Linked DNA regions of Neurospora crassa OR74A. The protein of the gene in region 3 interacts with the protein of the main gene of each other region in a biochemical or structural test. Links are inferred from orthologs where the notes say so. Each region holds a gene or a part of one and is shown on either strand. Other genes may lie near its edges. The genes, in order: pex4, mus-8, NCU04370 and NCU01225.

Region 1 (7,161 bases), on a different chromosome or scaffold from region 3:
GCCACAGCCGCGTTGCATCCTCTCTCTCCGCCGACATCACCATTCCGCAAGTCAAGCGCTGTCGGCGGCAAAGCAGGTCCTCCACCAGTAACACGCTACAACCTCAACAATGTCACCATTACAAACGACCCCGTTGGCAACCGCGAGAACGTCCTTGTCCTTACGCCCATGGCCCGCTTCTACCAGGAGTACTGGGATAACCTGTTGAAGCTCTCGTATCCCCACGAGCTAATCACACTGGGCTTTATTCTACCCAAGACCAAGGAGGGTAACGCGGCCACCATTGAGCTCCAGAAGCAGATCGCAAAGATCCAGAAGCATGGACTCGAGAAGGAGAGGTTTAAGAGCATCATCATCCTACGACAAGACTTTGACCCGCCCATCCCGTCCCAGGATGAGAGCGAGCGCCACAAGATGGCAAATCAGAAGGCACGCCGGGCTGCCATGGCCAAAGCCCGCAACTCGCTCCTCTTTACGACTCTCGGGCCCGACACATCGTGGGTGTTGTGGTTGGACGCCGACATCATCGAGACACCTCCTACTCTCATACAGGATCTTGCCAGCCATAGCAAGCCGCTCACGGTGCCCAACTGCTTCCAGCGGTTTTACAACGCGGAAAAGAAGGCCATGGACGAGCGGCCCTATGACTTCAACAACTGGCAGGACAGCCCGACCGCGCAAGAGCTGGCTTCTAAGATGGGCAAGGACGACATTCTCCTCGAAGGTTACGCCGACATGGCAACCTACCGGGCCCTGATGGCTTACATGTATGAGGCGGGTGCGGATATACACACCGAAGTGCCTTTGGATGGTGTAGGAGGTACGGCGTTGCTGGTGAAGGCCGAGGTGCACCGTGACGGAGCCATGTTCCCCGCGTTCCCCTTTTACCACTTGATCGAGACGGAGGGCTTTGCCAAAATGGCCAAAAGACTGGGCTGGCAAGCAACTGGTTTGCCCAATTACAAGGTGCGTCTTGTGTGTGCTGTGCGCCATGTCAAGGTGGGATACGTCGGACTAACACTGAAACATTAGGTTTATCACTACAACGAGTGAAACATTTGCCGGTATCGAGTTTTACACCGCGTATCCTAAGCCGCCACTGGACGCAATAACAGTCTCTCTTTGACGATGACAGCGTAGTGTCTGGGCCTTCAGAGATGACTACTCAACCTTTGTCCTATTCCTCATTCGTCCTCGAGCTGCCTAAGGCCATAGGCAAGAGTCTGGCTAGTAACAGTGGAATTTTCTGCCTTGGAGATGTTCAATTTCACAGCATCCAGAGTTGCTAGGCCCAGCAACTGTGGCGTTCTTCTAAGTTCTTGTAAATTTTTTGATGAGTTCTGGGTTATGGGAAGGAATGTGGGAAGCGAAAAGTGCACAGCTGGAGGGCGCGGTTCAAATACACGTCTGATGTGTGATGTGCCAGACGCAACCTTGTGTGATGATCAAGGTTGTCTGCTCGTTGTCGAGAGAAGAGCTCTTTGCTAACTCCAAAAGCTCTGAGCGACCGGGGCAAGGAATCTTATAACAAACCTTATCTGGTCAAGTTTCCAAAGACATAGGGTACAGCGACGACTTCTGACGATATATACTAGACTATGGGCGAGGAAACATAGGGGACTTTTGAAGTTCATCTTTCCTAAACTAATAGCATAATGAAAAGTAAGGGGTTGCGGTTAGGTTCCTTGCTGGCATCAAGTACAGGTTGGTATATCGCTCTGTTCTGTTCTTTTGTGACTAACAACCGTAGCCATTTTCTAATACAGTAAGCATAGACCATCTCCGATGATTTGGAGCGATGTCTCTTTCTTTTGTATATACATAGTAAGGAACCATGACCAGTCACTGCACAAGTGTCCAGTTGTTGTGCATCTCTACAAGTTCATACATGGCAGCAACGTGGCTGTGGCGAGTACCAATACCACTTGCCCCTGATATCTAAGCGTATATCTCAGGAATGATCTATACCAAGCCCACAGGCGTTGGCTGGCATGTTGGAAGATTCGCTACAACAGCAACATAAGGTCTGGAAACATGAAATATCATCTGTTGCCTGGAGGGAGCAGAGCCACATGACATACTCATAAGCGCTCTTCGTATGTAAGAGGCTTCCACAGCCCGCTTGAGCTACTAGCCAAAATAAATCCAATGGTCTATTTCCCATCCCACGGCTATCCAATCCAGCCCCCCCCCCCCCCCCCTATACCCTTTCTTTACATTCTCCCCTCCATCCATCCCGTACATTCTACACCTCTATCCCTGCCCTCTGCCCAACTCTTTCAAGACCCCTCATACCTCTCTTCCTCAACCCACAACTCCACCAGCCCTCTCGCCGCCACATGATCCCCTTGCCTTATAAGCGCCGCGACATCCACATTAAGCGGACTGTCAATGCCTGGACAGCTCAACAACAGCCTGATGGCTCTCACGCACTCCAAAACGCTGTAAGCGGGCGTCCATGCTTCTTTGAGCAAGTCCAGACAGATCTCCCCCGTGGTAAGGGCTACGTTGGCGTGCACGATGGGGGTGATGAATTTGATGGTTGGTGGGTGGAGGGGGTAGGTCGGTGGGAGGGTTATGTGGAGGAGCCAGCGGCCTTCTGGAGATTTGTGTGTGTTATCGTTAACAATGGAGGCTCTTTTGGGAGAAGGGGCGAGGTAAACATGAAAAGGGAAAGGGGGATGGATAAGAGGGAGGGAGGGGAAAAAAAACCAAAGATAAGAGACATACCATCATAACCACCACCTACCCCCTTCCCGTTAATCACGGCCTCCCAAATCAACAACTCATCGTCGTTGATGGGACCTAACCGCTCGACGCCCTTCTCTTCTTTGGACTCGATGTTGCTCCAGGTCGTGAGCTCTTTGATTAGGCGCTTGGCTGCGCTGCGGTTAGACATTGTTTATATATATGTGTACGTCTGTGTATGCGTGTATCCTTGTCTGTGGTGTATGTAACGTATACTCCGGTTTGTTTGTTCTGTAGCGCTTTGTATGATAGTTGAGTGTCCTCTCAATTTGGTAGGGATAATTATTCTTCCTTGTTCAGCGTTTCCAACGGAGCTGCCCGATGGTGCCTTGATGTGATTCCGACTCGTTTATCCAAGAGCAAGACAGACACGAACGAACGAGATTAGTCAAGCTTCGTCAATGCTATCCGTAAGGTCGAGTCTTCAGTTGCGCCAGCGCCAGTGCTAGTGGTCGGTCGTTCGGTACTCGGTAGTACGCTATGAAAGTATAAATGATCCACAGAGGTAAACCCGCGTTTGAAACTGAGAGCAGGTCGACGAGAAACGAGGGAGCCCTTTGGGGAATAGACTTGCGTATCCTCGTTTGGAAATCGTGTCCGTGAAGTGGATGGTTCTCGCACCGCAGTTGCCGACTGTGGTGTCGTCGCTAAATCGGTATAGCTCTGTCCGTGTGTAAAGCGACTCTTGGTGCACGGTCCTCGATGATCGATCTGTAACGGGTGGGCGAACCGTGATCAATACCACTCAGTGTAGCTGGATCTCGTAAAAGAGCGTATCGTCGGTCGTGTAGGGCTCAGGTATTGTTTGTTGATGTCAAGGTGTCCAAAGTGCTGTGCCCACAGAGGTGCTGCTGCTGCTGCTGCTGCCACCGCAGTGCGGTTGATCGGGGTACCCCTGACGGGCCAGCTGCGCATCGGCGTTTCCGGCGGCTGCATCTACCGCTACGTGGCTCCGTAGATGCGGATCCCTAGTGGTTGAAACCCGTTTGGCGGCGTCACTACGGCGCGCTGAAACTCAAGAACCCTTTGTGTCGCTGAAGCCGAGGCTGAAGTGCCGTTATTCGTTTTCTGGGACGGCAATCCATATTACCCCAATGGAATGGACAAGACCACACAGACAGAAAGGCACCGACATAAACAATAGCAACGTTTTAAGCGCATGGTATCATGGTTTGAATTGCCTAATAATCGTGTTGCGTTTGAAGCTCACCTGATCAAAACCTTCCACCCTAAGTCGATCGTAGACATTTGCAATGATATGTCCATAGAATCACAAAAAGATTTGTCATCGTCCACCTTTGAATCATATGTCCCTTAACCACATCATTCCTCGAGAAATCAACATCTCGTCCCCTAGACAAATTTCTGGTGTGACCGAGATTGCTATTGCTGCTCCCCTTCGTCTCGTGTTATCTTGTCCTTCGTGCTATCGTCAAAAAGAAAAACGCCCTATCCGTCAAGTCGAAAAGCCCTCCAATAAATCTCATCTAGATCCCCAAAATTCCGTACTTAGCGCCACATTAAAACAGAAGAGCCTTGACACCCATGCTCCTAGCTAGTTTCGTCTGAAAAATATCGTTAAGCCTCGCAATTTTCCTTTGATTTCCAGAACTGTACAAACCGGCCGAGCCGCTTGGTCTTGCTGGGTTTGACCTTCTTCTCTGATCCGTCATCAGTCGCCGTAACCTCCATCGAGAGCTTGCTGCGCTCACCATGCGAGCTGCTAACAAGACGGCTAAGGCTAGCAAGACTCGATCGCCTTCGACCAAAGGCAGAGGCACTGAACGAGGCAGGCCTAGGCAGCGTGTTGGAGGATAGCTGCCTAGCCTGAGGGTTTTGCGCAAAGAAGCTCTCACGAGTCATTGACGAGTCGCCGCTGGTCAATGATGGGACATCATCCACCGAGATCCGTACCTCTGGTCCGGGTTCGCCCATAAGCAGTGACTGGAAATTGTCCTCAGTGATGGATGAAGGTGCCGTCGAAATGCGATGGGCGTCGTAGGATAAGGGAGACCTGGGAGACGGGAAGGCTGATGACGGGGTCATCGAGTGAGGACTGACTGGTGCGCATGACACAGCAGCAGGCAAGGTCAACGGACTGCAGTCAACTACAGCAAGGTCCTTGGGACGGAAGGTCTGCCTGGGCGAAGGAGTCGCAGAACCCGAGAAGCTATGTCTAGCCTGTAGCTCATTCTGGTATCCGCTGAAGCTAGGACGGGGAGAATCAGTGACGGATGTCTCATGTCGAAACGCATCCTGAGACCGCCTGCCCAGAGACCCTGTATGGATTGAAGACTTCACGGAGGCGTTGCCATCCTCGTCGGTTTCTACTCCTGGAGGTACAGCAACAGATTCGGTTGCCGTTTCCCGTTGTTCATCAGCAGTGGACTTCGCGACATCCTTATCCTTCGCAGAAGCTTTCGACTCCTCAAAAGTATCGGCCAGGGACGTCTCCATAACAGGGGTTGACTGTCCAGTAGATTTGGGCGACTCATCCTCGTCTTCCTCTTCGTCCTCCTCAAAGACATCAGCCATGGTCGAGCTGCTCCCGAACCGAGGGAAGCCGAAACGACCACCTTCGAAAGGTACCAATTCGGGTGCACTCTCAGCCCGTCTGTGATAATGCATTCCAGGGCCAGTAAAGCCCCTCAAACCCGCAGCGCTGTGCAATTGTTTTTTTACAGTACCTCCCGCTCTCTGGGCCGCCTCCCACTCTGGGTTGCGAGGGAGGGGCGTATTGAACGGTCCCAATGCTGCGTCCAAATCAATCATTTGATATGACGTCTCTTCGTCAGGAAGGGATGCAGGCTTGTATGAATCCCAGTCCTTCGCAGTGGGGTCGATTGATTCCGTCACCAGAACTGTAGGCATAACTGCCTCCGGTTCAAAGAGCACGTCAACAGCTGATTCATTCACACTATAGGAACGCCGAGAAGTAGACGTAGGGGTTCGCTTCAATCCCTTGCCGTGTCGCGATTTTTTGCTTTGCTTCCGAGACAAAATGGACCCGGCCCACGTCTTGACCTTCTTCTTTTTCTTGCTTCTCTTCTTCGTGAGTGGCTTCATCTCCGCCAGCTCTTCAGGAAATCCCTGGGGCGAATGACCGGGAAAGCGCTGCGGAGTGGCCTTTACTGATGTCGACAGCTTGGGCGATTCCGAAGGCCTAGTAGGAGATGAAGCTGAGGAGCTATCCTTGCCGAAGAAAGACCACTTTTTGGAGGACTTGATAGGGCTGGGAGTCGCCGACGTATATGCTGAAGGCGGCGAAATCGAACCTAGAAGGGGAATGGAACCACGGCGTCTCGGTGAAACTATCTCCTGGGCCTGCTCCTGGCCTGTCTCGGTCCGTTCAAGAACGGCTCCAGCAGTACTTGGTCGGTCATTGAGCTCGGGCGACGAATTAAATGCCATGGTGTTCAAGCCCAGCTCCACGTTTGTGATGGAGATGACGGACGAAATACTACCCGAAACGGAATGGCCAGGACGAGCGGTAACCGTGCTGGAGGTGTCGCTAGAAACAAGTGAAACAGGTCTCGGAATGTATTCGAGAGTATCAGAGAAACCAACCCTTGTACGGACGGCTGGCTTCGGGGATTCCTGGGCTTCCGTGAGTGCTACCGGCTCCTGGGCGGGTGGTGTCGATACCTCTGGGGCAACTGATTCCGGAACCTCGGAAACAGCCATGGTTGTTGTTGTCGTCTCAGGCTGCGATTTCTCATCACTGACCAGTGAGAGTTCCTTGGGAGGATCAACAGGCGCTAGGTTAGCCGGGGGACTGTCCTTCTTGACTTCTCTGGCGGTAGGAGGGATAATGATAGAAGACAAGTCGTGGCTTGAAATTGCGGCAGATCTCCGGTGAGCATGACCCCTGCGACCAGCAGGCTTCTTTGGTTGCAGCAAGGGGGAAGCCAAGCCATTTTCTGACTTGGTCGGACTAGAACCCAAGTTGACCGTGATTGAATCTCCGCCACGGATGCTGCCTCCAACAAATTCGCTGCCTCCCCTTCGATGACCATGACCACCGGGCCGGATTGGAATTGCCATTGGCGAAGAAGGAGCCGATGGAGGAAGAGTAGGGCTGAGAAACGAGCTCTCGGTGAGCGCTGCTGGAGGTAAGGGGTTGCCTGGGTTGAATGAAAAGGCGGGGAGGGCCGGAAGCGCAGGTGATCTGGATACGGGCTTCTCGGTGTCAGCACCAAGAGAGAAGCTCGGAAGCTGTGGCTCGATAGCGGAGTGTGGCCGTCTTCCAGTAGCGCGGGTGTACGATGAGGGCGCCGAAGAAGTCGGTTTGGCAGGAAAGACAAAGGGTGGATTAGGCAGCGGAATGGAAGATCGAGGAGTCTTGTTGGTCATGTCGGAAGCGGTAGCTGAATGATCAAAAGGATTGATGGTCGATCCAACCATCACTTCGGG
Region 2 (7,193 bases), about 1.6 Mb from region 3:
ACCCATCCGCAACTCCACAATGTTCCCGGTTATACCGACTCGATCCTCTGGACGACCATCGCAGTGGCCGCACCTCCACCATTGCAAATAGCAGCTACACCGTACTGGCCAGGCTGGAGTTGATGAAGCAAGGTAACGAGAATGCGGGATCCAGAGCTACCCAAGGGGTGGCCAAGGGCAATGGCGCCACCAAGAGGGTTCACCACAGCGCCTTCGAGACCCAGAATCTTCTCGTTGGCCTTGATGACCGCGGCGAAGGCCTCGTTAAACTCCCAAATGGCAACCTGGTCCTTGCTAATGCCGGCACGCTTAAGGGCAAGCTCAACCGCTTTAGAGGGCGCAATAGGGAAGTCGATGGGATCCATAGCGGCATCAGCTGAACTGACGATACGGGCAAGGACCCTTGAGCCCTTGCCGAACTCTTGCGCGAGCGACTTATTGCCGAGAACCAAAGCACTGGCGCCATCGTTGAGGGTGGAGGCGTTGGCGGCCGTCACGGTACCGGTGCCATCGCGGACGAAGGCAGGCTTGAGGGTGGCAACTTTGTCCAGCTTGATGTCGTTGTAGCCTTCATCCACCTCGATGATCTTGTCACCCTTCTTGCCCGGAACGGTGACCGGGACAACTTCCTCAGCAAACTTCCCGGAAGCCCAAGCCTCCTGGGCGCGCTTGTACGACTGGATGGCATACTCGTCCTGCTGTTCACGAGAGATTTGGAACTTCTTGGCAGTGTTCTCGGCGCAGTTGCCCATGTGGAACTCGTTGTAGACGTCGGTCAGCCCATCCTTGATAATGCCATCCTCCATCTTGATGTGACCGAAGGGGGGCATGCCGCTAGCGCGTGGAACGTAGTACGGCGTCCTTGTCATGTTCTCCATACCACCAGCGACCTGGGCCTCCGCTAGGCCAAGCTGGATGTTTTGCGCCGCGAACACAACAGCTTTGAGACCGGAAGCGCACACCTTGTTGATGGTAATGGCCTCTACGTTGGGGGAAAGGCCAGCAAAGATAGCGGCCTGGCGTGCAGGTGCCTGGCCAACAGACCCCTGGAGGACGTTTCCCATGTAGACATCGGTGATCTTCTCAACGGGGATACCCGACCTCTTGACGGCCTCCTTGATGGCAACGGCACCGAGCTTGGGAGCAGGAACGGTGGTGTAAGAGCCATTGAACTGGCAGACGTTAGCACAAGCGCTGTGTTGTGGAAATGGCTGATTTTACGGAGCGCTTTACCTTGGCCGTTGGTGTCCTCACACCACTGAGAATGTAGGCATCCTGAATCTGCTGGCGGAGAGCAGACTGGGTGGAAAAAAGACGAGCGCAAGCGACACGGGAAGTGCGCGAAGCCGAGCCAGCGGCTGTCCTGGCGTGGCTAAGAACCATTCTGATGTCGGAAGCTGGTGACGATGAGTTACAGGACGTAGGGGCGGTACTGCACAGCGCAGATGTCGGAGGGGAATCTGGCGAGAAGGAAGAAAGGAAGATGGCCGAACGGGGAATGAACAACAGCACAACAGGAGAGGCAACACAAAAACAGGAGCAGGAAATAATTGGGAGTAGGGACAGAATCACAGGGAAGACTTTCTTCTATTGTTTAAAAATGATTAATAAAACTACCAGTTGGGGAGGCGATAGCTAGGTGGTCTCTTCCTCTCCTTCCCGCTTTCTTTTCCTCGGAACTTGTCAGATGCCATGATGGCACCGGTCGGCTTGTGACGGTACATGTGTGGAGAGGATTCACACCAAAGCGATGCTTCACCCCGCCAATTGAGCGCCAAACAGTGGCCGCCACCGTGGTTCCTCCGCGGGGACCCCAACGGGCGCAAGGGACACAGAAGCTTGGTATCCGGGGTTTCCCGTGGAGCCTGCCGCTGACCGACAGGGGAAGCTCCTCATCCACAACAACTGAAGAATGCCCTGCTTGGGTCATGAGCCCATGAGTGCCGTACCCACGGGCGGATGGAGAAACATCAGATGGAGCCAGAGTTGAAGCCGTAGCGGAGGGGAAACGGTCAACGGATCGATTCGGGGGTGGATGCTCTCCAAGCAGTTCATTCACTCTTTCCGCAGCCTCCTGTTGCCCAGCGCCGGCATCATACCTAGCTGTACCGGATACTGCCCGCATAAAATCAGGGATCAAAAGGCCAGGGCACTGCACGCTCAAGAGTCGTTTCGCATCACTTAACAATCTATCCCAGTCGCGGTTGTCCCTGCAATTGCCATCCCGCGCGCGTCTTTGGATGTTGGGCAGAAGCGAACCACTTTACACGCGGGAACAAAAGCCGAGCTTCCCAACGCGATATGTTTGAGATGTTGCGTTGGTTCCAAGCAACGATCCTATTGCGGCGTTGAAGTGTTTTCGGGCAGCTGCCGGGGGATGCCACAGGAGACAGCTTGATCAAATCACTGATTCAACCCGAACAATTGGCTGTCATGCTACAATTTCTGATGTTTTCTTGGGATTCATTTGTCAGTTCGATTAGTTAGATGTTTGGCTGGACAACCATTCGGCGGTGGCGTGAGAGAAGGTGTGTGACTGTGTGATCCCATTCCATCAGCTGGCAGTCACCTCGCGCACGAGCCACCAGTCGCTTCATACCCAAGTGTAATTGGCCGAGAATCAGAAAAGTGCTATTAACAATCCGGCGGCAATTGTCAACCGGGGCAGTCACTGTTCATTGCCCCTGCCCTCGGCGCGCGTTCTCCTAGCTTCTTTGTGACGCCCCCCTCCGGGCAATCAGTTGGGTATGATAAGATAGCGGTCGTTAATGCGCGTTCACTTGTTGGCTCTGCTGGTTTCCGTCATTCATCTCCGCCCCTTCAAATCAGTTCGTTTGATTGTCTCTTCGCTATTCCAACCACGAAACCCATCTCGACTTCGAACAAAGTATCGCATCGATCCTACGTACTCCATCAACCTTGTAGCTTTCTCTCCATACGCCTGGGCCGACTTCATCATCCATCACCAAAGCCAAAATGTCAACCGCTGCCCGCCGCCGGCTCATGCGAGACTTCAAGGTGCGAGACATCATGAGCCACCCCGTTGGGTTCACACCGCTTGATGACTTGGCCGCCATGAGCACAATATACTCACCATGTTCCTCGACAGCGCATGCAAACCGATCCTCCCGCTGGTGTTTCCGCCTCTCCCGTACCCGATAATGTTATGACATGGTAAGGAGAACGATCTTTGCTGCGGTGTCGTTATGGGCGGTCGACCCCCGGCATGGCAATGACTGACATGAGTCTCCATATAGGAACGCCGTGATCATCGGACCCGCCGATACGCCCTTCGAAGATGGCACCTTCCGCCTGGTGATGCACTTTGAGGAGCAGTATCCCAATAAGCCTCCTTCGGTCAAGTTCATCAGCGAGATGTTCCACCCCAATGTTTACGCCACTGGCGAACTTTGTCTCGATATCCTTCAGAACCGCTGGAGTCCTACGTACGACGTCGCGGCTGTTCTTACCAGTATTCAGAGGTACGACTGCATAATATCTTGTTGACGTTCATTTTGCGTTGTGTTATTATGCTGACAAAACTGTCTTGACTAGTTTGCTCAATGACCCGAACACAGGATCGCCTGCAAACGTCGAAGCCTCCAATCTATACAAGGACAACCGCAAAGAATACCACAAGAGGGTCCGGGAAACTGTTGAGAAGAGCTGGGAGGATTGAATAGTGACGACATTTATCACCACGGGGCCCTCAATGGCAAAAAGCCAATGATTGATCTGGGTGCTGCAAGTCGGTGTTGATATTGCTCACTGGGCTGTTCGATACAGATCTCTTGGCTATATCAACAGTCAGTTGTCGACCGACGACGAGTTGCGAGATGATCCACATTCGAGGATACCCGGCGGTTTGGCCTTTTAGGGCGTGAGGGTGGAACGGATGTCGTGATATTACATTGCATTTGGGAGGCGTCGTTCTTTCGGGGCGTTTTTGTTGTATTTCAAATATCCGCATCTCTCGCCTATTGATGGCTGAGAGTCAGCCTGCTTGTCTGCAATGGAGAGAGCGGGAGTGCTTGGTTTTTCTCACTCTTTAGGGCGATTGTCGGGTTTGGAGTTTAGGCGCTCGTATCATACCAACACAAGCACATCTGGCGAGGGCAGTCCCTGGATACCTCAACTCACCCCAAAAAGCCCTAGATAGCGTTCTTTTCTTTTGTCTTAGAGATGAAGAGATGGCATAGTGTCTTTCATTGCAAAAAGCTCACCATGTTATGTCGGCCGGCTTAGATGTACGAGTTTCCAGAGAGTCTTGCATTTCTCAGCTTTCCTCTGTTTCTTTGACGAAAGTGTACATGACCCCGCTTGGTGCCTTACATCCACATGATTTATATCACCTATACCTAAGGCTGAGAGTCAAGTCTAGCGTGCACATTTCGAACTGCGGCGTTGTTTAATACACGCTCACGTTAACAGGCATACCTTGGATGCAAGGGTCCCTGTGAGAGTGAAAGACAGGCTGACTACCTCTATCGTAAATGCCCAGAAAACGCAGGGTTAAAGGGCTGTCAGATGCTTTTGGCGGCCGTCAGAGAGCATTAGTGTACGTGGCTTCCGAACACTTTTAACCCTGCAATCTGGAAACAAGGTTCTCAAGTCTGTATGGTACGTCCTGGTCCGACTTACCCAGCTCTACATGGCTCTTTTGGAAGACTTCTCATAACTTGCATAGGTACGATTTTATGTTGTAGGACTGACGCTTTGCGTATGATCTGCATGAGGGGTGAGGTTGTTTATATATTGTGGGTAGCTGAACTTGGCTAGGCTCCTCTACCTACAGCGAGCGGTAGCCTCTTGAAAGCTCGAATTGACAACGTAGAGAGGTATCTTGAAAATTGATTGCAAGTTACCCAAAAGAGCAAAGAAATGGCCATAGGCAACTCGAACAGCAGGAAAGGGGGCGGGCATCTCCAAGAATACTGGCTTGTATACTTGTGCCACTTGAGTCTGCTAGAAACGTGCGATCAAATTACCTCAGGGAATGGGTTTCAGATTGGGGTTTTCCATGTACACTAGAGGTAGGTACCCTCGGGCGGAGCCTCCCCCAATCCTGTTTGAAGCTTTGAAATATTTCTACAATTGATGAAAATATCTCCTCCATGGCACCCGAGAGTATTGGCCGAACGGGCATTCAATCTTCAGGCAGGTACTTACCTTACACTCGGAGGTAGAGGCAGAGGTAGAGGTAGGTAAGTAAAGGTACTGGTCTCGCAGTCCGCCTCGCAGCACCAGCCGCCCCGAGTGCCGTCCCGCTCCGGTTGTTAGGTAAAGGGACAGGGGCAGCAGGCACAACCGACGGGAGTCGTCCACTGGCGACGACTGGCAGCGGTTCGCTTTCAGGACCCCTCCCGCCCTTGGCTGCGCACCGTTCAGACTGCGTCTCAGGCTGCGACTCTGCACTGACCGACAAGACCCCACTATCTTCATCGCGTTTCGACATTTGTTCGGTTTCTTCTAGACCCTTAAATTGCCTTGGGTACCGACCACACGTGTGATGAGTACCCCTTCCTGCCCTTCCATCTCGACGAGAACATACGGCGGCGGCGACAGTAGCTGCGGATACCCCTTTCAGCCCCTTTTTGCACATTCTGCACACGTTCGCCTTTTCGCCTAGCCCTCAAGGTTTGCTTTGCTTTGCTCTGCATAGGTAGCTTTAGGTTTGCTGTCTTCTTCCATCGCTGCGGCCCAAAGGGGTTCAGTTACCTAACGAAACGCCAACGTGCCTCGGCGGGCGAGTAGTGTGTCACATTGAAGCCCACCTTCACCTTTTGCCCTTCTTCACACCGCACCCGCAGCCGCGAACCGCACCGCAACTGCACCACACCACAACCACCGCTCACGACGGACCGCGGAGGAGGGAAACGACGACGAGAACACGCGCCTAACCGGAACTCGTCACCTTTTGTGATATCCGGATCCAACTCGGAGAGACACCTGGACCCCGACTGACCGAGACCCTGCTTCTCTATCTCTCTGCTGCAGGCGGCCGGGCTCCTTGTCCATCTCCCCTCTCCCCCCCCCTCTCTCCCCCTCACTCCACCACCCATCCTCCCCGACAACATCGGCCGCGCCGCCTTTCATGACAGTGCGCTACCCAGCGCTGCAAGGGAATCGCCATAATGTCGTCAAGTGCGAATAGTATCAAGGTCGTGGCTCGATTTAGGCCCCAGAACAGGGTCGAAATCGAGTCCGGCGGCCAGCCCATCGTCACCTTCCAGGGCCCGGATACCTGTACAGTCGATGTGAGCAACTTCTTCTGCCCCCTAGTTCTCGCACCTCACAATGCCCTTGTGCCTGCCTTGTCACATCCTTCACGCGCCTGAATGCAGTCGCACCGCAGTGGCTAACCCATCTGTTTTTGCCCATAGTCGAAAGAAGCGCAGGGTTCCTTCACCTTTGATCGGGTGTTTGACATGTCATGCAAGCAATCCGACATCTTCGATTTCTCGATCAAGCCTACCGTCGACGATATTCTCAATGGCTACAACGGTACTGTCTTCGCCTACGGCCAGACGGGTGCCGGTAAATCATACACCATGATGGGTACCAGTATAGATGACCCTGATGGCAGAGGTGTTATTCCAAGAATCGTCGAGCAAATCTTTACCAGCATCTTGTCTAGCGCAGCAAACATCGAGTATACCGTCCGGGTCAGCTATATGGAAATCTACATGGAGCGGATCCGTGATCTTTTGGCGCCTCAGAACGACAACCTGCCAGTTCACGAAGAAAAGAACCGCGGTGTCTACGTCAAGGGTCTGCTCGAGATCTACGTCTCGAGCGTCCAGGAAGTATACGAAGTCATGCGCAGGGGTGGCAACGCAAGAGCTGTGGCTGCGACCAACATGAACCAGGAGTCGTCGCGCTCGCATTCCATCTTCGTCATCACCATCACCCAGAAGAACGTGGAGACGGGCTCGGCCAAGAGCGGTCAGCTTTTCTTGGTCGATCTGGCTGGTTCCGAAAAAGTCGGCAAGACAGGTGCCAGTGGTCAGACGCTGGAGGAAGCAAAGAAGATCAACAAGAGTTTGAGTGCTCTTGGTATGGTCATCAATGCCCTGACAGACGGCAAATCCTCTCACGTTCCTTACCGAGACTCAAAGCTCACCCGTATTCTGCAAGAATCGTTAGGTGGTAACAGTCGAACAACACTCATTATCAACTGTTCACCCAGTAGT
Region 3 (7,712 bases):
GGAGAACTTCTCACGTGGTACATAATGTAAGACTATATTGATACAAGTAGCTGTCCTCTCTTTTGTAAGACATGATTTAATCACTTTCCTGGGACTCTTACTTCAGCGTTTCTATCGTCATCACCTCATCCTCACCGGCACTAAGCCAGACTCCTTCTGCTTCGAATTCATGTACACCTAATGAAAAAGGATCATAAACCAAGAAGTAAAAAGTAACGTTCTATTGACTTGACTTTGACTGTATTTATTCATTCACCCAAAAAAACAGCTCATCTGATATCTACACCGTCTTCCACGCCAACCCTTTTATGCCAATCATCATCTACCTGATCCGCGCTTTGATATAAGGAACCTCCACATCCTCACCATCCGCATCCTCGGTCACCACCTCAAAGATCAACTCCTTCTGATGCGCCGGAATGGGCTTCTTGCTAATCGTCTCCACCAGCTCGCTGAGCTTGAGAGTATAGCGATCCTTGAGCTTGGCAGGCGGGAAGAACGAGGCATACAGCAAGCTGACCCCGGAACTCAACATGGAGATGGACAGACCGCGCTTCTCGAAATCGTCAATCAGCTCCTGCAGGGTAATGTCACCGACCTCGAAGCGGTCCCAGATCTTGTCGAGCGTGACCTTGCCATTGGGGCCGTTGTACTCGACCTTGGGGCTGGCGATGGGCTCGGAGAAGCCGAAGAAGGGCAGGGCCAGGTTGATGAAGCCGTTCTTGTACTGCTCAATGTCGGTCTTGCCGTCGATAATCTTGTACAGCTCGAGGACGACGAGGCCGGTAACCAGGGCCGTGGTGGTGGCGATGGCGGGAATGATCTTGCCGGCGATGAACTTGGTCTTGTGACGGTCGGCAGGCTCAATCTTGTAGTTCTCGGCGCGCAGGTTGCTGGCGGCCGTGATGAAGTCGATGTGATAGTTGGTGTCATCGTCCTTCTCAAACTCCACAACATTGAGCTTGAAGCCAGCAAGGGACTTGGGCTCGGGGAGCTGGGACTTGAGGTTGCCGAGCTCCGATTCGTCATCGAAGGCAGTGTTATCTGCGTTCGGGTCCTACTTTCAGTTAGCATCATCCCCAACACACAACTCGTTGTGGCAAATACTCACAGGTTCCTTCTCATCAGCCTGAATCTTGACATTCGAGTCAGGGGAGAAGTCAGGCACGATCATACCCTCCAAAGCCCGGAGGTAATCAGCCTTGCTCTTGCCCTTGGCATTGATACTATAGTTGAAGGCATGGAGGTTGGTAGCAGCCTCGAGGAAGCTAAAGTGGGTGGGGTTTTCAGGGTCGAACTTGAGCGGGTCAGGGGCGCGCTTGGGTCCGGACCAGAAGGGGGTACCGGTCGAGGACACGGAATCCTTGGGGAAGTTGTAAAGGAGCTGCTGAATAGCGTTGTTGTACTGCTTCTCGAAGAGCATGCGAGCCCATTGGACACAATCCTCAAAGGTGAGCGGGCGCTCGTGCTTTAGGAAGTCCGCCAACATCTCCAGCGTCGCCTTCTCGTTGCCACTCTGCTTCAGGGTAGTGTCGAGATAGTTTGGCTGGGTCAAGTAGAGGTTGACGGTCTCCGCAGGCTTGACAAATGAGCTCTCGAACAGCTCACGAGCCCAAGCAATGGTGTGCTCGATCTTGTTGGGGAAACTCCTGAGAGTGCACATGGGGAACGACTGCTCAGGAGGATCCTGGGAGGAAGAGTAGGACTCAGTGAGCCTAGGAAGCACCACTTGCGTGTTGCCCTTGGTGCCGAGGGTACCACTCTCAAGGAGAGGCTTGTGGAAGAAAACGCACCGTCTGTCGACATACGTTCTCGCCTCAACGTTGTCCAGCGCGTTAGTGACGCCATCCAAACCCTGCCAGAACTCCTCATTGAAGATCTCCTCGGTCTCGGGACTAACGCGATCCTTGAGAGAAACAATGTGGCCTTCGAGGTCAGGGTTCATAGCTTGCGCGGCCTTGGCCGCGCAGTCACTCTTCATCTGACCAACGTCCTTGGGACGGAACAAGAACTGTCTGTTCAAGTTGGACTTCTCGATCGAGTCCATATCGGTAACGGTAATCTTACCCTCAGGGCCTGTTCCGAGACCAATCATGGCCCAGTTCTTGAGCATCTCACAGCCAATGGCGCCAGCGCCAACAAGGAACTGCTTGACGTTCGAGATCTTCTCCTGAAACTCCTTACCAAAGACCGCAATCTGGCCGTCATACCTGCTACCAGTGGGCGCACAGAGTTCCTCGGTGCGCTTGGAGTTGGTGGGAAGAGCCTCGAGCGCATCGAAGTACATGAACTGCTTAATGGGGTGGAACTTGCCCGAAACAGCCTTGAGGACTTCCTGGGCAGTAAGGCCACCGAAGAAAGCGGCCATGGGGTTAAGGTCACCAGTAGCCTGGTAGCTGAGCTCCTTGAGAAGCTTGTCGTCGAACTCGACGTCAACACCCTGCTGCTTGGCAAACTCCTTAGCCGAGGCGATAACCACAAGCGCATCCTCGTCGTTCATCGGCCTTGGTAGACGTCCCTGAGACTTGGCGAAAGCGTGGAGAGCCTGGAATCCAATATGAAGCTGCTGAGGGCGATCGAACTTGGCGAAGTCGGAGATGACAAACTCGGGATCCTTGAGCGCGTTGGTAATGCTCTTGAACTCGATGGTCTTGGGCATTTTGACCTGCTGGTAGAGACCGCCCTTCTTGTACTGGCCAAGCCCCGACACGTCGCCGATAGAGAAGGTGTAGGGGCCCTTGACGGTGACCTTGCGGGGCTCGCAGCCGTTGAGTCCCTCCATACCCTCAACCTCCGAGAAGGTCACATAGTCGCCATCCTCAAGTCCATGCCTGGTCTCGTCAAGCGCAGAAACGAGACCCTCCTCGTCGATGCCAGCCACGATACCGTTAACGGGGTTTTCGCCGTTCGTGTCCATGACAGTAAAGTTATCGCCGAAATCACAGAAGATGCCGCCAAAGAGACCGTGTGTGTTGACAGCAATAAAGTAGATGCCCTTGGAGTGGCAGTATTCGCCGACAATAGTCTGGAGATCGGTGTGCTGGTTCGTAAGGACGACGACTTGGTACTTGTCAAACTGCGACAGGTTATCGGCGAGACTGTACAGAGGCCACGGTTAGCTACCGAACCTGTCAAGCTCACTCCCGTCCGGTTCATAACCTACCTTGGCGACTGGTGGATGTGAACGGGGGTATAAGCATTGAGCTCAGCAACGCGGGGAGCGGTGACCTGGTCGCGAGGCTTGCCGACATCCTCAGGGCGGAGGAAGAACTGGGCGGAGAGGTCGGCCCAGGCGGCGGGCTCGGGGTCGTGGAGGGTGAGGCTCTTGACGCCAGCAAGGGCCACGTTCTTGGCGATCTCGACGCCGAGGCCCTTGAGGCCGACGATGAGGACGTTGGAAGCGCTCATGCGCTTCATGGCCTCGTGGCCCAAGACATAGAGCTGGCGACTGTAGAGGGACTCATCAATCTCGGCCGTGGTGCCGGCTACTGATTCGTCGACTTGCATCCTGGTGACAAGGTCGACCTCGTTTTTCTGAGTGTCCTGGGAGATGGGCATCACGAAAGTGTCAGACTGACTGGCGCTAGCTACCAGGAACAAGCATCTGCCATCCCAAGTAGGATTCATGTAGACAAACGGGGTTTCAACTCACTGTCATGGTTCTCTTTAGAGAGATGGGTAGGTCCCCTTCGGATACTTTGCGCTTCCCCAGCTTGGCGACTGTTGATTACGGGCGGGCCGGTAGATTATAGATGGTGGAAAGTTCGTGACGCAAACAGAGCAAAAACAAGAACGAGAACTGAACCTAAAGTTGTTGATTCGCAGTGGTCGGGTATTGTGATACTTCAAGTTGGCGATGTTGGTCCAAAGAAAACGCCGATGTTGTAGTTGAATGACTCGGGAAAACAGACGACGGATCAAGCGCAAGTGCTACTATGTCGTACTATGTCAAGGTGCAAGTGCAAGTGCAAGTGCAAGTGGAAGTGGAAGCTGTCTGTAATCTGGAAGGTCGGGCGGCGGGGATGTCGAGGGAGGTTCGGTCAGCCCCGCCACCAGCTGTCAAGCATCAAGGAGAACTGCGGGGAATGGTGATGTGATGCACTGTCCGTCGTTGGCCAAGCACCTACCGCTGCAGCGTGCAGGTCGCTGTACTGCTGTTAGTGCAGTGTGCTGTAGCCTTCACCGTATGCGGCCTCGCACCTATTACTAGGTTGTACGTCTGGAAGTGGCTATGCTAGCTATGTACCTCTAGGTACCTCTACCTCGACCCAACCTCGTTTCACACTGGCTGTGCCCTGTCTCCTATCTGATCGGATAAACCTTGACTCAGAGTCTCATTGATGCTGAAGGGAAGCCAATATGTATTGTGGTTCACGCGCGCATGAACCTGGAAGGAACCGTGAGGACAGCAATAGAAGGATCGAATCATTACTAACACCCCTGGCAGTAGACGGTACGAGGCGGTCATGCACTAGAGGTACTTGCCCGATGTACCGATGGCGGTAAAACGTACTTGGTACAGTAAGCAAGGACCAGCCACTCAGCCCATCCGGCAGGCAACTTGTGCTCTCTTATCGTAGTGAGCCAATCACATTCAATGAGGCGCTTGTAGGTACTTCTCCATATTAACATAGCTGCGCGGGTACTTCAACCTTCCCTGTATCGCTTCAACCTCCCGTCATTCAATTAATTCCTCGTCTTTACCCATCAAGGTTCCTCGCAACGTAAACACCAACCATCTGTGTTTTCGTCATCGCCATCACCGACATAAAATCTATCTTCCCAAAAGAACTTCAAGTTCCAGTGGTTTCTTGCCCAGCGGTCCCTACTTTGGCTCGTTGGAGGCGTTGAACTAAGGACCTCGTCTCCTTTTCCCGAGATCAGTGAACCGCCCAGCTACTGGAGACCCTTGAGATATACGTCACTATCACATATTAGCTCGTATCCTTGCTGACGCTATCTTGCCCGCCGCTACCTTGACTGTAGAGACAAGCTGGAGCAAGATATGTGGCATACAGGAGACAACTCACAAGATCAAATCTGCGTTCGGAGGAATGTGGCCGTGAAAACCCCTGGTGTGCAATAAGTCGGGTCAGCACATGGGCATTAACTCCAAATCAGCACGGCCAGAAGTATCGTGTCTGCGGGTGGTGTTACACCATATAGACTGATTTTTTTGGATTTTCAGAAGAAAGAAAAAAAAAAGGCCTGCAGGTTACTCACCGCTCTCCGTATCCGTAATCACTAAAACATATTGTCTCGTCAGTATCAATTTCTTCCCCTGACACATCGTTCACTCACGAATAACTCACCTAGAAATATCCAAAGTGGCTTTCTCGCCAACCTTCATTTTCAATACAGCCTCATCCCATCCTATGCCCGTCACAAAAGCAGCACGTCAGCATAAAGTCTCCGATATATGAAAAAAGTGGACCGATGGTGGGCATATACCTCTGATGAGTCTCCCAACCCCGATTTGCGTGACAAAATCCCCACGACCGATCGAGCTGTCGAATCTGGATATAGTGTTATCAAAACTGACCAACAACCGGAGACGTGTGTGGTAAGGCAAGATTTTTCAATGGGGAAAAGAACATACTCGGCTCCCTTTCCATCGGCCTGGCTCGAGTCCTTCAGCCAACCAGTATACTCGATAACCACGGTCTGGCCAGCTTCTGGTTGTGGCCCGGTACCCGCAACGTGAGTGATTTTGTTGACACCCATTGTGTTGTTCTTGCTGGCAGTTTGTTTGTTTGTTTGTTTGTTTGTTTCCTTGCTTGCTTGCTTGCTTGCTTGTTGTCTGTGTCCCGAAAACAAGTGAATGGCCGAACAGGAGATATCTCTTGACGTATGTCGTCCGTTCTGGTCCTTAGTTTATATACCCAGCTCTTCGACCGATATCCCCTTTCTCCGATCTCCGACTTTTGGCGTTTATTTCTTTCCAACTCGTCCACTTACCTTACTCGAACCTAATCACAAGTCTCCGATATCCGATCACAACCTAACCTTTCTCCAGATATCGGTATTACTGTTCGATATATATTGTCGATCTCCGATCGTCTTCCCCAATTTTCACTAGCTCACTACTAGTGAATGATCGACTTCTCGGCCGACCTTGACCCTAGTTTGGTCCACACTGCTGAAGAACGACCGGGTGACTGACATCAATTTTCCTAGCCAAGCGTGGACAAGGGATGCTTCGTGTGCTGGAAAAGGGGTGCGAATAAGAAAGCTAGCGTGGTGTGATGAGTCTCCGAGACGAGAGGGATCGATGAGCAGATGTGAAAAAGGTTTGTCAGCGCTGAGGTAAATCGGGGGCTTGGCCGTTAACCAAACACCACGCGGAACTTCCTGATGTTTTTCCAACCGAACCGTGAGAGACTTCCTTAATGTGACGTGACTTGGGCATCTGAACCAGATCTCGATCGCGTGGGGTCTTCCAAGGGCGGATCCGTTCTCTTCTGGAGCCTAAGCAGCGTTCCCTAAAGTAGCCGAGTCAAGGGTAACCTTCCAAGTCGACAAACTATTGGGACCGGGGACCTCAGGTGACAAATCCAACGGCGTGACTTAGTAACCCTGCGAGGCAGATCCGGCACCTAGTGAGGTAAGGCAAGGACCCAGCACAACGGTAGCAATGCCTGGAAGCTTGTGATATCGACTGTGATGGCAAGCAGCACCGAGTCTAAGGAGTGGTGGAGATGAGCCAGGACGACGTCACGTTTTTTTCTTTTCTTCTTCCTCTCGCTAGGCCGGAAGGAGTCTAATTTCAAGAGAATGACCCCCAATTAGAGAGAATGAAGAAAACAACCGAGCAGAAGCTGACGAATATATTCCAGGGAAAGAATGGCGTCCAGGACGGTGTCTGGGGATGACTTGGTGCTGGCTTGCCGTTTGTGGCGCGTGAACGAATGAGAATGGAAGGAGAAAAGGCCGGTGAAAGTGCCCAAAACAGAGATGACGATCCACCCATATTTGAAGGAAATGTGGAAGAAACCAACATGGATGATGCAGTTGAAAACCTCAGGCTCGTGGCACTTGCCCAGTCTTGTTTGTATCTTTGGGACCCGGCCTGGAGTGTGATTTCCAAGTGAGATTGGTCGTGGAAGTGCGCATCGGGGAGGAGCTACCTTGCCTTCCACTTGGATGATCGGGTAGGGAGTGCTCATTGGGAGCCAAATACCTTGCCGCGAAATTTGTTATGACTCGAAGATCTCATCTGCATACAAGTCGGTAACTGGCATATGTGGTCTACGATTCCATCTCTGCGTCAATCCAGATTCGGACCCGGATGGTGTGTATCTTGCCGCGTGGGCGGTAAGGTAGATGTAGCCCTGACTCTTGACTTAGAGCCTCGCATGTCGCGTAATACAGTCTTTGACTTGTACCATTGAGCCCTGGGAGGGTACAGTAGACGGCCAACGACCCCCGGGCTGTTACCTTAACACACCACCTAGACAAATATTGATCTAGTAGATGAGTACCCGTGTGTGATGTGATCTGAACTAGTTTACTGGAAATGAGGACGGCTGGTTGTGACCAAAAAAGGGGGGGAAGGAATACCAACAGATCTTTTCTCTGCCGCTAAACCCCAGAATTTTGGAGGTAGGGCAATCAGCACGTCTGCCATGAATGAGTTAGTGAAACTGCCTGACCAAGCTATAAGCGGATTTCTTGTGGCAACTTCCGCTGGGAAGCTGGCTTCGCTAGCATAA
Region 4 (7,491 bases), on a different chromosome or scaffold from region 3:
TTCCCCATTGCGCCCTGCTTGTCGTGACTCGCGACGCCGATGACACGACTCGGGCGCATCTGGGGAATGCTCCACCTCCACCAACTGCCCATGATCACAAGCTTTCCAAGACCAGGACACCATTGGATGTGATTAATGCTGCGAATTTGACTTGGCTGACGATGGCTCATTGTACAGTTTCCACGCCCAGCAGGCCATCGAATATGGTAAACCACCACCCTCAACCACCCACCACTGCCACCATTCCCCTCGCTTATCTCCCGCTTATCGGTACCGATCTTGGGTCGCAAACTGTCGCAAACATGGAATTCTGACGCATTTCGCCCTCTGTTCTAGGCACCAATGTTGTTGGCGGCACCAACCCCAAGAAGGCTGGCCAAACACATCTTGATCGCCCCGTCTTCTCCAATGTGAGCGAGGCTGTCAAGGAGACCGGTGCTACTGCCACCGCCATTTTCGTCCCGTAAGCACTCTCCGAGATACCAGCCTTTGGGGGCCTTACTAATAGCAACATCGAAAATAGCCCCCCTCTCGCCGCTGCCGGTATCGAGGAGGCCCTCCAGGCCGAGATCCCCCTCGCCGTGTGCATTACCGAAGGCATTCCCCAGCATGGTCAGTACAATGGCTCACAAGGACGGCGCGCAAGCGGATGAAAGCGAATTTTGGAAACCAGTGATCTAACCGGGCGTTGCAGACATGGTTCGCATCACCTCTATGCTCAAGACTCAGTCCAAGACCCGTCTCGTCGGTCCCAACTGCCCTGGCATCATCGCCCCCGGTCAGTGCAAGATTGGCATCATGCCCGGTTTCATCCACAAGCGCGGCCGTATCGGTATCGTCAGCAGATCTGGCACCCTCACTTACGAGGCCGTCAACCAGACCACCCAGGCCGGCCTCGGTCAGTCTCTTGTCGTCGGTATCGGCGGTGACCCCTTCAGCGGTACCAACTTCATCGACTGTCTCAAGGTCTTCCTCGAGGACGGCGATACCGACGGTATCATCATGATCGGTGAGATTGGTGGTTCCGCCGAGGAGGAGGCTGCCGACTTCCTCAAGGAGTACAACACCAAGAACGGTGGCAAGCCCGTCGTCTCCTTCATCGCCGGTATCTCCGCTCCCCCCGGCCGTCGCATGGGTCACGCCGGTGCCATCGTCGCTGGCGGCAAGGGTGGTGCCGACTCCAAGATCAAGGCCCTCGAGGCCGCCGGTGTTGTTGTCGAGCGCTCGCCCGCCAGCCTCGGCAAGGCTCTCCGTGATGAGTTCGTCAGACGCGATTTGCTTTAAGAAAAGTTTGAAGGGGTTCATGTTTTAATCTTTCGAACATTTTCTTTTGTCTACTTTGAGGCGGACATATGAATAGTCGCAGCAGCCAGCCAACCAGCCATACAACCAAAACATCTTGTCCATGTCTCCTCTGTCTCTGCGCACGGGTAGTCTTGTATTTCTGGTTCGGCTTATCTGCCGACCTGGTCGGGGCCGAAGGCACAGTCAGAAGGAAGCAGGGAACGCGGAGCGTATTGCATTTGTGACTGTGTCTTGGGATGACAATTGAAGCCTGATAGAGACATTTGGCCATTGCTACTGGGAGTGGGGACTGGGCGTATACCGTGTGGTGCATTTATATCCCTTTCCGCATCTTGCGACGTTCTTGTTGATAGAGGTGAAACCAAGGAATGGGTGTGGGCGGTTAGGTATATTATACTTTCCATTTATTCACAACGTCACATAAACATGACTTACCGACCTGTCTTCGCCTATTGGCTTGAATGCGCCATACACTTTGTATAGATACGCTATCACTTTGCTAGCTACCATGTAAAGGAGGACGGAAACTCCGAGCAACGGGAAAGTGAGGAATCAGTAGTAGAAAGAAGCCAGAAATTCCATTGCTCCATTGACACCCTTGTCGTCCGTAAAACTCCATATCCGAATGCGGCTGATGTATAAACTAATAACAGACGAAGCCGCGCCATCCTACCACCGAATAAACCAGTCGAACGTCGGCCTCAGCTGCTGCGGTTTCCATCCTTCGCTTTACCTGTCCGCTTTTAAAGTCCATACCGTTCTGATTTCCATAATGCTGATCGGTAAAACCATACCACCACCTCATCACTATACATAGCCGTGTTTGTTGCTCTCATTGCCCGCCCTCACTCTCGAATGTCACTGCTCGCCGAGGAGCCGCGCAGTGATATCGCCCATGTATGCTTCCTCGAGTTCGTAATCGGCGCCTCCGTTCCGGTCAATACCCACAAATTTAAAAGCATCGACCACCTTTTCTACGTCGAATCCCATGTTGACAAAACGATCCACCAGGTCCTTGTTATATCCAGCATATCTGTGTTGGGTTCGCCAAGCAGGCTCTCAAGGTTAGTCGCCTCTGACTTTTATTCCGGGTTTCCAGTAATGCATTGTCCATATGGCTTTTGCTTAACACAAGGTGGTTCACTGCATCGGGATGGTCAGAAATGCCACGTACCTGCTAGCATCGTTCCTTGAACCTTCCTTTGCGGTCTCATCATACTTGAGAGGAATCTTGTCCACCCTGGGCGCGCCGGCATACTTGACGGCCCAGTCGTGTGCCGTTCGGGCGAACAGCTTGGGGTTTTCCATCAACATCTTGGCCACCTGGGCGTCCTGGGGATCCTTCGGGTTTGGCGATTCAAGAAGCATTCGTACGGCAAGCAGCGCTGTCTTAATCGTGCCGACCGGGGACCATGCTGTTCCCAGAATGTCGAGGCAGATGGCGCCCTGTAAAGACGTCGGAGGGTTAGTTGAGCTCTCCAAACTCCACCTACTTCCTAACATCCATCATAAAACAAGGGGACAAAAACGAGAGAAACGTACAGTGACACTGCTGACGTTGGGGTGCCAGATCTTGGTAATAAGATACATCGAGGGCGGCTTGAACGGGTACTTATCCGGAATCTGAATGTCGACCTCGTATGTACCCCCAGCATAGGGCGAGTCTGGAGGGCCGCTGAAGGAGCCCTTGAGGTGCGACAGATTGCTCGAGTCGAGAGGTTCGGCCATGACGCCCGAGGTCTCGCGGTCATTCCATATATCCTGCAATTCCTTCGCAACGCGGCGCTCACGAGTAGTCGCCATGGTCAAGTGATGGGGTGTTGGTGCAGAGGAAGGGAAGTGTATTGCGCCCAAATGGGAATGGGAGTGGGTACAGTATATGGTTTGCTGTTGGACGCAAATAAGATGGTAGGAAGTGGTGTTCAGCGAAATAAGTGAAGTATAACAACGGAGTACTGATAAGATTAACCTTGTGGAGGGGTCAAGGAGGCCCGTGAAATGATGTTGCAAGGTGAGACGGGAGGGTTTCTTCAGTGATGGAGGAGCTGGCAGTGGAACGAACGACAGGACGTTTTAGGTTTTCTTCCGCAACTGATCGAGGATTGGCGAACCGGGCCTGCTTAGGTACCGTAGGTTATTTGTGAATGCAAGGCTGAAAGAGCATTCGCTGACAAGGTGAGATGGTCGTCGTCACTTCCTGTCGAGGGAAAGGAAAGCAAAAAGGCAACTTCAAGAGTCAGGTGGGGAGCAGCGTCCGTAGAGGTACCCAAGAGTGCCAAGAGTCAAATGCTCACATAACCTAATTGGCGAGCGTGGTGTTCTTCCTAGTGTTTTGATCGCCTCAGCCACACCTTGCTTTATTTTTTAGTATAGTACGGGCAAGGTTGAGGACGAATGACCACTGTCGCCCTCCAATGTACACAAAGTTGCGACGGGATAGGATGGAAGCAGGAGGCTCTGGCTGGACTCGTCCCTGGGATGGTCCCCTCCCTTGCCAATGTCGTGGCCATGCGCTGTATGTATGGGAAAACAGTCCGTCATACGGTACAAGTACAAACTTAAAGCTGTGCAGCTTGTCCAGGTATGGTCAGTAGACAGATCGAATGCAAACGCACAGCAAGTGCTAGGAGCGCTCAAACGACATGCAAGGTGCTATTGCCCCCGGCAGCTTAGTAGTCTTGATGGTCTGTGCGTCAGGTGTACGACTGGACGACAGACGGATGAGGTGTGTCGCGTTCACTGGGGGCCTGAACTGGAGCTCGCCATCCCGTCGCAACTGAACCTCAAACGGGCATCCGCCAACAACGAACACCAGCACAACTTAATCGTTTCCATCACTGCCGCTGAGATCAACGAGTTCAGATCGTGCGGCACTTTTGCGACCCCATCATATAATTCTCAGCACCCCTTTGAGTCTTCCACCACACTTTCAAGAATCGCGAAAGGCGGACCGTCAACATGGTCAGTTGCCGCAATACGGAGCTGAGCTCAAGCTTGCAACGCATCGCATACTGACAAGCTGCGCAGGGTCAAAATCAGTCTGGCATGGGCGGAGGCCAGGACCCTTCAAAGTCCAAGAAAGATAAGGTAGGATGGCTTCAGTTGCGTCAAGGTTTCTGTTGTGCGCGGCATGCTTGCTGTCCTGTGAGACTCAGGCGCTGACATCATGGACATCGCTAACCACCATCGCCACCAAAACAGAAAGATAAGCCCAAGTACGAGCCGCCGCCGAAGCCTACCACCCGCATCGGTCGCAAGAAGAAGAGACAAGGCGGTGCCAGCGCTGCCGCCAAGCTCCCCTCAGTGTATCCGACAAGCCGATGCAAACTCCGACTCCTACGAATGCAACGAATCCACGATCATCTACTGCTCGAGGAAGAATATGTCGAAAATCAAGAACGTCTACGCAAGGCGAAGACCGCCAAGGACAGCAATGCTCCTGCGTCCGAGCTCGAGTCTTCCGACCGTATGGCTGACGAGCGCTCCCGTGTCGATGATATGCGTGGCAGCCCCATGGGTGTCGGTGTTCTCGAGGAGTTGATCGACGACGACCACGCCATCGTTTCCAGCACATCGGGGCCCGAGTACTACGTTAGCATCATGAGCTTTGTCGACAAAGACCTTCTGGAGCCCGGCGCCAGCGTCCTGCTACATCACAAGAGTGTCAGCATTGTTGGCGTGCTCACCGACGACACGGATCCGGCCGTCAGCGTCATGAAGCTTGACAAGGCGCCCACGGAGTCGTACGCGGATATTGGTGGCTTGGAACAGCAGATCCAGGAAGTTCGTGAATCAGTTGAGCTTCCATTGCTGCATCCGGAGCTCTACGAAGAAATGGGTATCAAGCCACCCAAGGGTGTCATTCTTTACGGTGCTCCCGGTACCGGTAAGACCCTCCTTGCCAAGGCTGTGGCAAACCAAACTTCGGCAACGTTCTTGCGCATCGTTGGTAGCGAGCTTATCCAAAAGTATCTTGGTGATGGTCCTCGACTGGTCCGCCAGCTTTTCCAGGTATGTAAAAGTGTTTCAAGCTACACTGTCAAATATATACTCTAACATGTTCCTCAGGTTGCCGCCGAGAATGCCCCTTCCATCGTGTTCATCGACGAAATCGATGCCATCGGTACCAAGCGTTACGACTCGACATCGGGCGGCGAACGTGAAATCCAGAGAACCATGTTGGAGCTGCTGAACCAGCTGGATGGTTTCGACGACCGTGGAGACGTCAAGGTCATCATGGCCACCAACAAGATCGAGTCGCTTGACCCTGCTTTAATCCGTCCTGGCCGTATCGACCGCAAGATTCTCTTCGAGAATCCCGACCAGAACACCAAGCGCAAGATCTTCACGCTCCACACCAGCAAGATGTCACTTAACGAGGATGTTGACCTGGAAGAGTTCATCGCCCAGAAGGACGATCTCTCAGGTGCCGACATCAAGGCCATCTGCTCTGAGGCCGGTCTCATGGCCCTCCGTGAGCGCAGAATGCGGGTGCAGATGGCAGACTTCAGAGCTGCTCGTGAAAGAGTTCTGCGCACCAAGCAGGAAGGCGAGCCCGAGGGCTTGTACTTGTAACATAACCGCATATTATCTGGCCTAATTTGCAAGACTTTTCAGATTTGGGCGGATTGCGACTGGGAATGGATTTGACAATTCAGCCTTGTGATGTCGATATCCAGCCATCACTAAGCGTACCTTAGTTTGAGTGAAGATGAAGGGATACCGTAGCGTTTTATCATGGAGAAAGAAGAAACTTTACGGTTGGCTCCTGTAAGGGTATGTTTTCCACGCCTTAAATTGTTGGTTCGTTGATACATTCATTGTGAAGTCCAGCTTCATGTCAGTTGTATCTACGCAAAACGTGAAGCCCACCACTGCCTCTCATCCTACTCATGTAAGCTTGACGCTGCACCTCCTACGTATGCTATCTCTCCCATTGTCACCAGGCGGCATCTAATCTATCCTTCTGCGTGTATCCTTCTCTCTATCTCTATACATTTAACCACCCTTTACTCTCCTGCTTGAACCATCATGGTCCCCATCACATATTCTCCTCCCCTGCTGATCAGCCGCACTCAAAGCCTCCACCAAGCCCATTACCCCCTCCGACCAAACCTTTTTACCATCCTTCGTATCTCGCCCTCGTTCCGGCCAAGGCACACCCCCTTTCGGAATCTCCTTCACCGTGATCCCCTTCCTCCCATAAAACTCCTCATTCGCACCCCCCTCGACACCACCACCACCGTCCCATCCATCGACTCCCCTGCATACAGCCCCCCTTGCTCCTGATATAACCGTACACCAACGGTTTACTATCACCATCATCCTTCTGTTTCTCTTCCCCTTGGTCTGAAATGGAAGAAGAGCGACCAGAACCACCAAGCACACCCTCTACCCCCGCCCCAGTTCCATCGGCCCAGCAACGATCCCTACGTTCCCACTGCGACTTACACGGGGGCGCTCAGCGAAAGCGCGCACACGGCCGAGGGGGTGCGTGAAACGCAGACGCAGTCCTAGATGTGGATGCCAGCGAGGAAGCCGGAGCCTAGGGAGTGGATTAGAAAGTCTCAGGGCGGGGACCATTTTTGACATTGGGGTTGGGAGCCGAATTGGGCGAGAGATGACGATGCCGGATTCAGAAGAGCCGGAAAGATGGAGGCCGGTGCGGGAAGGCGGTGATAACTTGCTAGGCCGGGATAGGTGGCTAGGACGCGAAGGAGGGGATGTGGATGTGGATAAGGGAGGTGCGAGAGGAGCCCTGATTAATGCAAAAAGATTGAATAATCCTAGTTGTCACATTGCTGATCCATTGTTGAAGGCTAGAATGCTTCGGGATCGAGTGCGTTGGTTATTTTGTTGGTGGGCGTTCCAGCTTTGACGCTTAGTTGGGTGCTCGCTTGTCTTTGTTGTTGTTATTCAAATGTGAAGTCTTCTGTTCCTGTAGCAATGTCAGCTCCTGGTAGTAGTCGGAATTGGTACCGCCCGATGCGAGTATGCGAACCCAATCTATTTGCCATGCATGACATTTGCACACACATTGTTTCCCGGAATTCTATGGAAGTGTAATCTATGGGATCTCGAAACCCAAAGAGCAAATTCTCAGTTAGACGAAGTAAATATCCACGGTACAGGAAACACAGATACCCGCGCCATCTTACCCGTCGAAGTAAGCATGCCACACACGTT

What was found.
Region 1: of the proteins of NCU04370 (region 3) and pex4, one has a biochemical effect on the other in vitro, tested with the Saccharomyces cerevisiae proteins (2 studies listed by BioGRID). The link is inferred for Neurospora crassa OR74A from reciprocal best matches to the Saccharomyces cerevisiae genes UBA1 and PEX4.
Region 2: of the proteins of NCU04370 (region 3) and mus-8, one has a biochemical effect on the other in vitro, tested with the Saccharomyces cerevisiae proteins (6 studies listed by BioGRID, with this or other methods). The link is inferred for Neurospora crassa OR74A from reciprocal best matches to the Saccharomyces cerevisiae genes UBA1 and RAD6.
Region 4: of the proteins of NCU04370 (region 3) and NCU01225, one has a biochemical effect on the other in vitro, tested with the Saccharomyces cerevisiae proteins (5 studies listed by BioGRID, with this or other methods). The link is inferred for Neurospora crassa OR74A from reciprocal best matches to the Saccharomyces cerevisiae genes UBA1 and UBC1.

Annotation. Positions count from the first base shown.
Region 1 is NC_026501.1:3,006,186-3,013,346, forward strand, and holds pex4 (ubiquitin conjugating enzyme), read right to left. Parts: upstream 3,619-7,161; 5' UTR 2,900-3,618; coding exon 2,731-2,899; intron 2,600-2,730; coding exon 2,280-2,599; 3' UTR 1,842-2,279; downstream 1-1,841. Other genes in the region: NCU02635 (mannan polymerase complexes MNN9 subunit), read left to right, coding at 1-966, 1,033-1,053; NCU02637 (hypothetical protein), read right to left, coding at 4,327-7,161. UniProt on the Saccharomyces cerevisiae protein: Catalyzes the covalent attachment of ubiquitin to other proteins. Essential for peroxisome biogenesis. Required for UBC4-independent ubiquitination of PEX5.
Region 2 is NC_026504.1:1,992,755-1,999,947, forward strand, and holds mus-8 (mus-8), read left to right. Parts: upstream 1-2,653; 5' UTR 2,654-2,976; coding exon 2,977-3,018; intron 3,019-3,109; coding exon 3,110-3,174; intron 3,175-3,257; coding exon 3,258-3,482; intron 3,483-3,555; coding exon 3,556-3,679; 3' UTR 3,680-4,368; downstream 4,369-7,193. Other genes in the region: NCU09732 (acetyl-CoA acetyltransferase), read right to left, coding at 30-1,172, 1,234-1,383; kin-1 (kinesin heavy chain), read left to right, coding at 6,135-6,257, 6,384-7,193. UniProt on the Saccharomyces cerevisiae protein: E2 ubiquitin-conjugating enzyme that accepts ubiquitin from the ubiquitin-activating enzyme E1 and transfers it to a E3 ubiquitin-protein ligase.
Region 3 is NC_026504.1:3,601,923-3,609,634, reverse strand, and holds the start of NCU04370 (ubiquitin-activating enzyme E1 1), read right to left. Parts: upstream 4,029-7,712; 5' UTR 3,659-4,028; coding exon 3,653-3,658; intron 3,544-3,652; coding exon 3,164-3,543; intron 3,099-3,163; coding exon 1,112-3,098; intron 1,058-1,111; coding exon 323-1,057; 3' UTR 1-322. Other genes in the region: peptidyl-prolyl cis-trans isomerase fkr-3, read right to left, coding at 4,897-4,924, 5,031-5,072, 5,224-5,244, 5,313-5,373, 5,452-5,516, 5,600-5,724.
Region 4 is NC_026505.1:3,288,720-3,296,210, reverse strand, and holds NCU01225 (ubiquitin conjugating enzyme), read right to left. Parts: upstream 3,803-7,491; 5' UTR 3,109-3,802; coding exon 2,848-3,108; intron 2,752-2,847; coding exon 2,480-2,751; intron 2,339-2,479; coding exon 2,164-2,338; 3' UTR 1,750-2,163; downstream 1-1,749. Other genes in the region: tca-8 (succinyl-CoA ligase alpha-chain), read left to right, coding at 178-206, 337-463, 524-612, 695-1,284; rpt-2 (26S protease regulatory subunit 4), read left to right, coding at 4,264-4,266, 4,333-4,392, 4,507-5,316, 5,374-5,880; NCU01223 (hypothetical protein), read right to left, coding at 6,304-6,654, 6,757-6,888.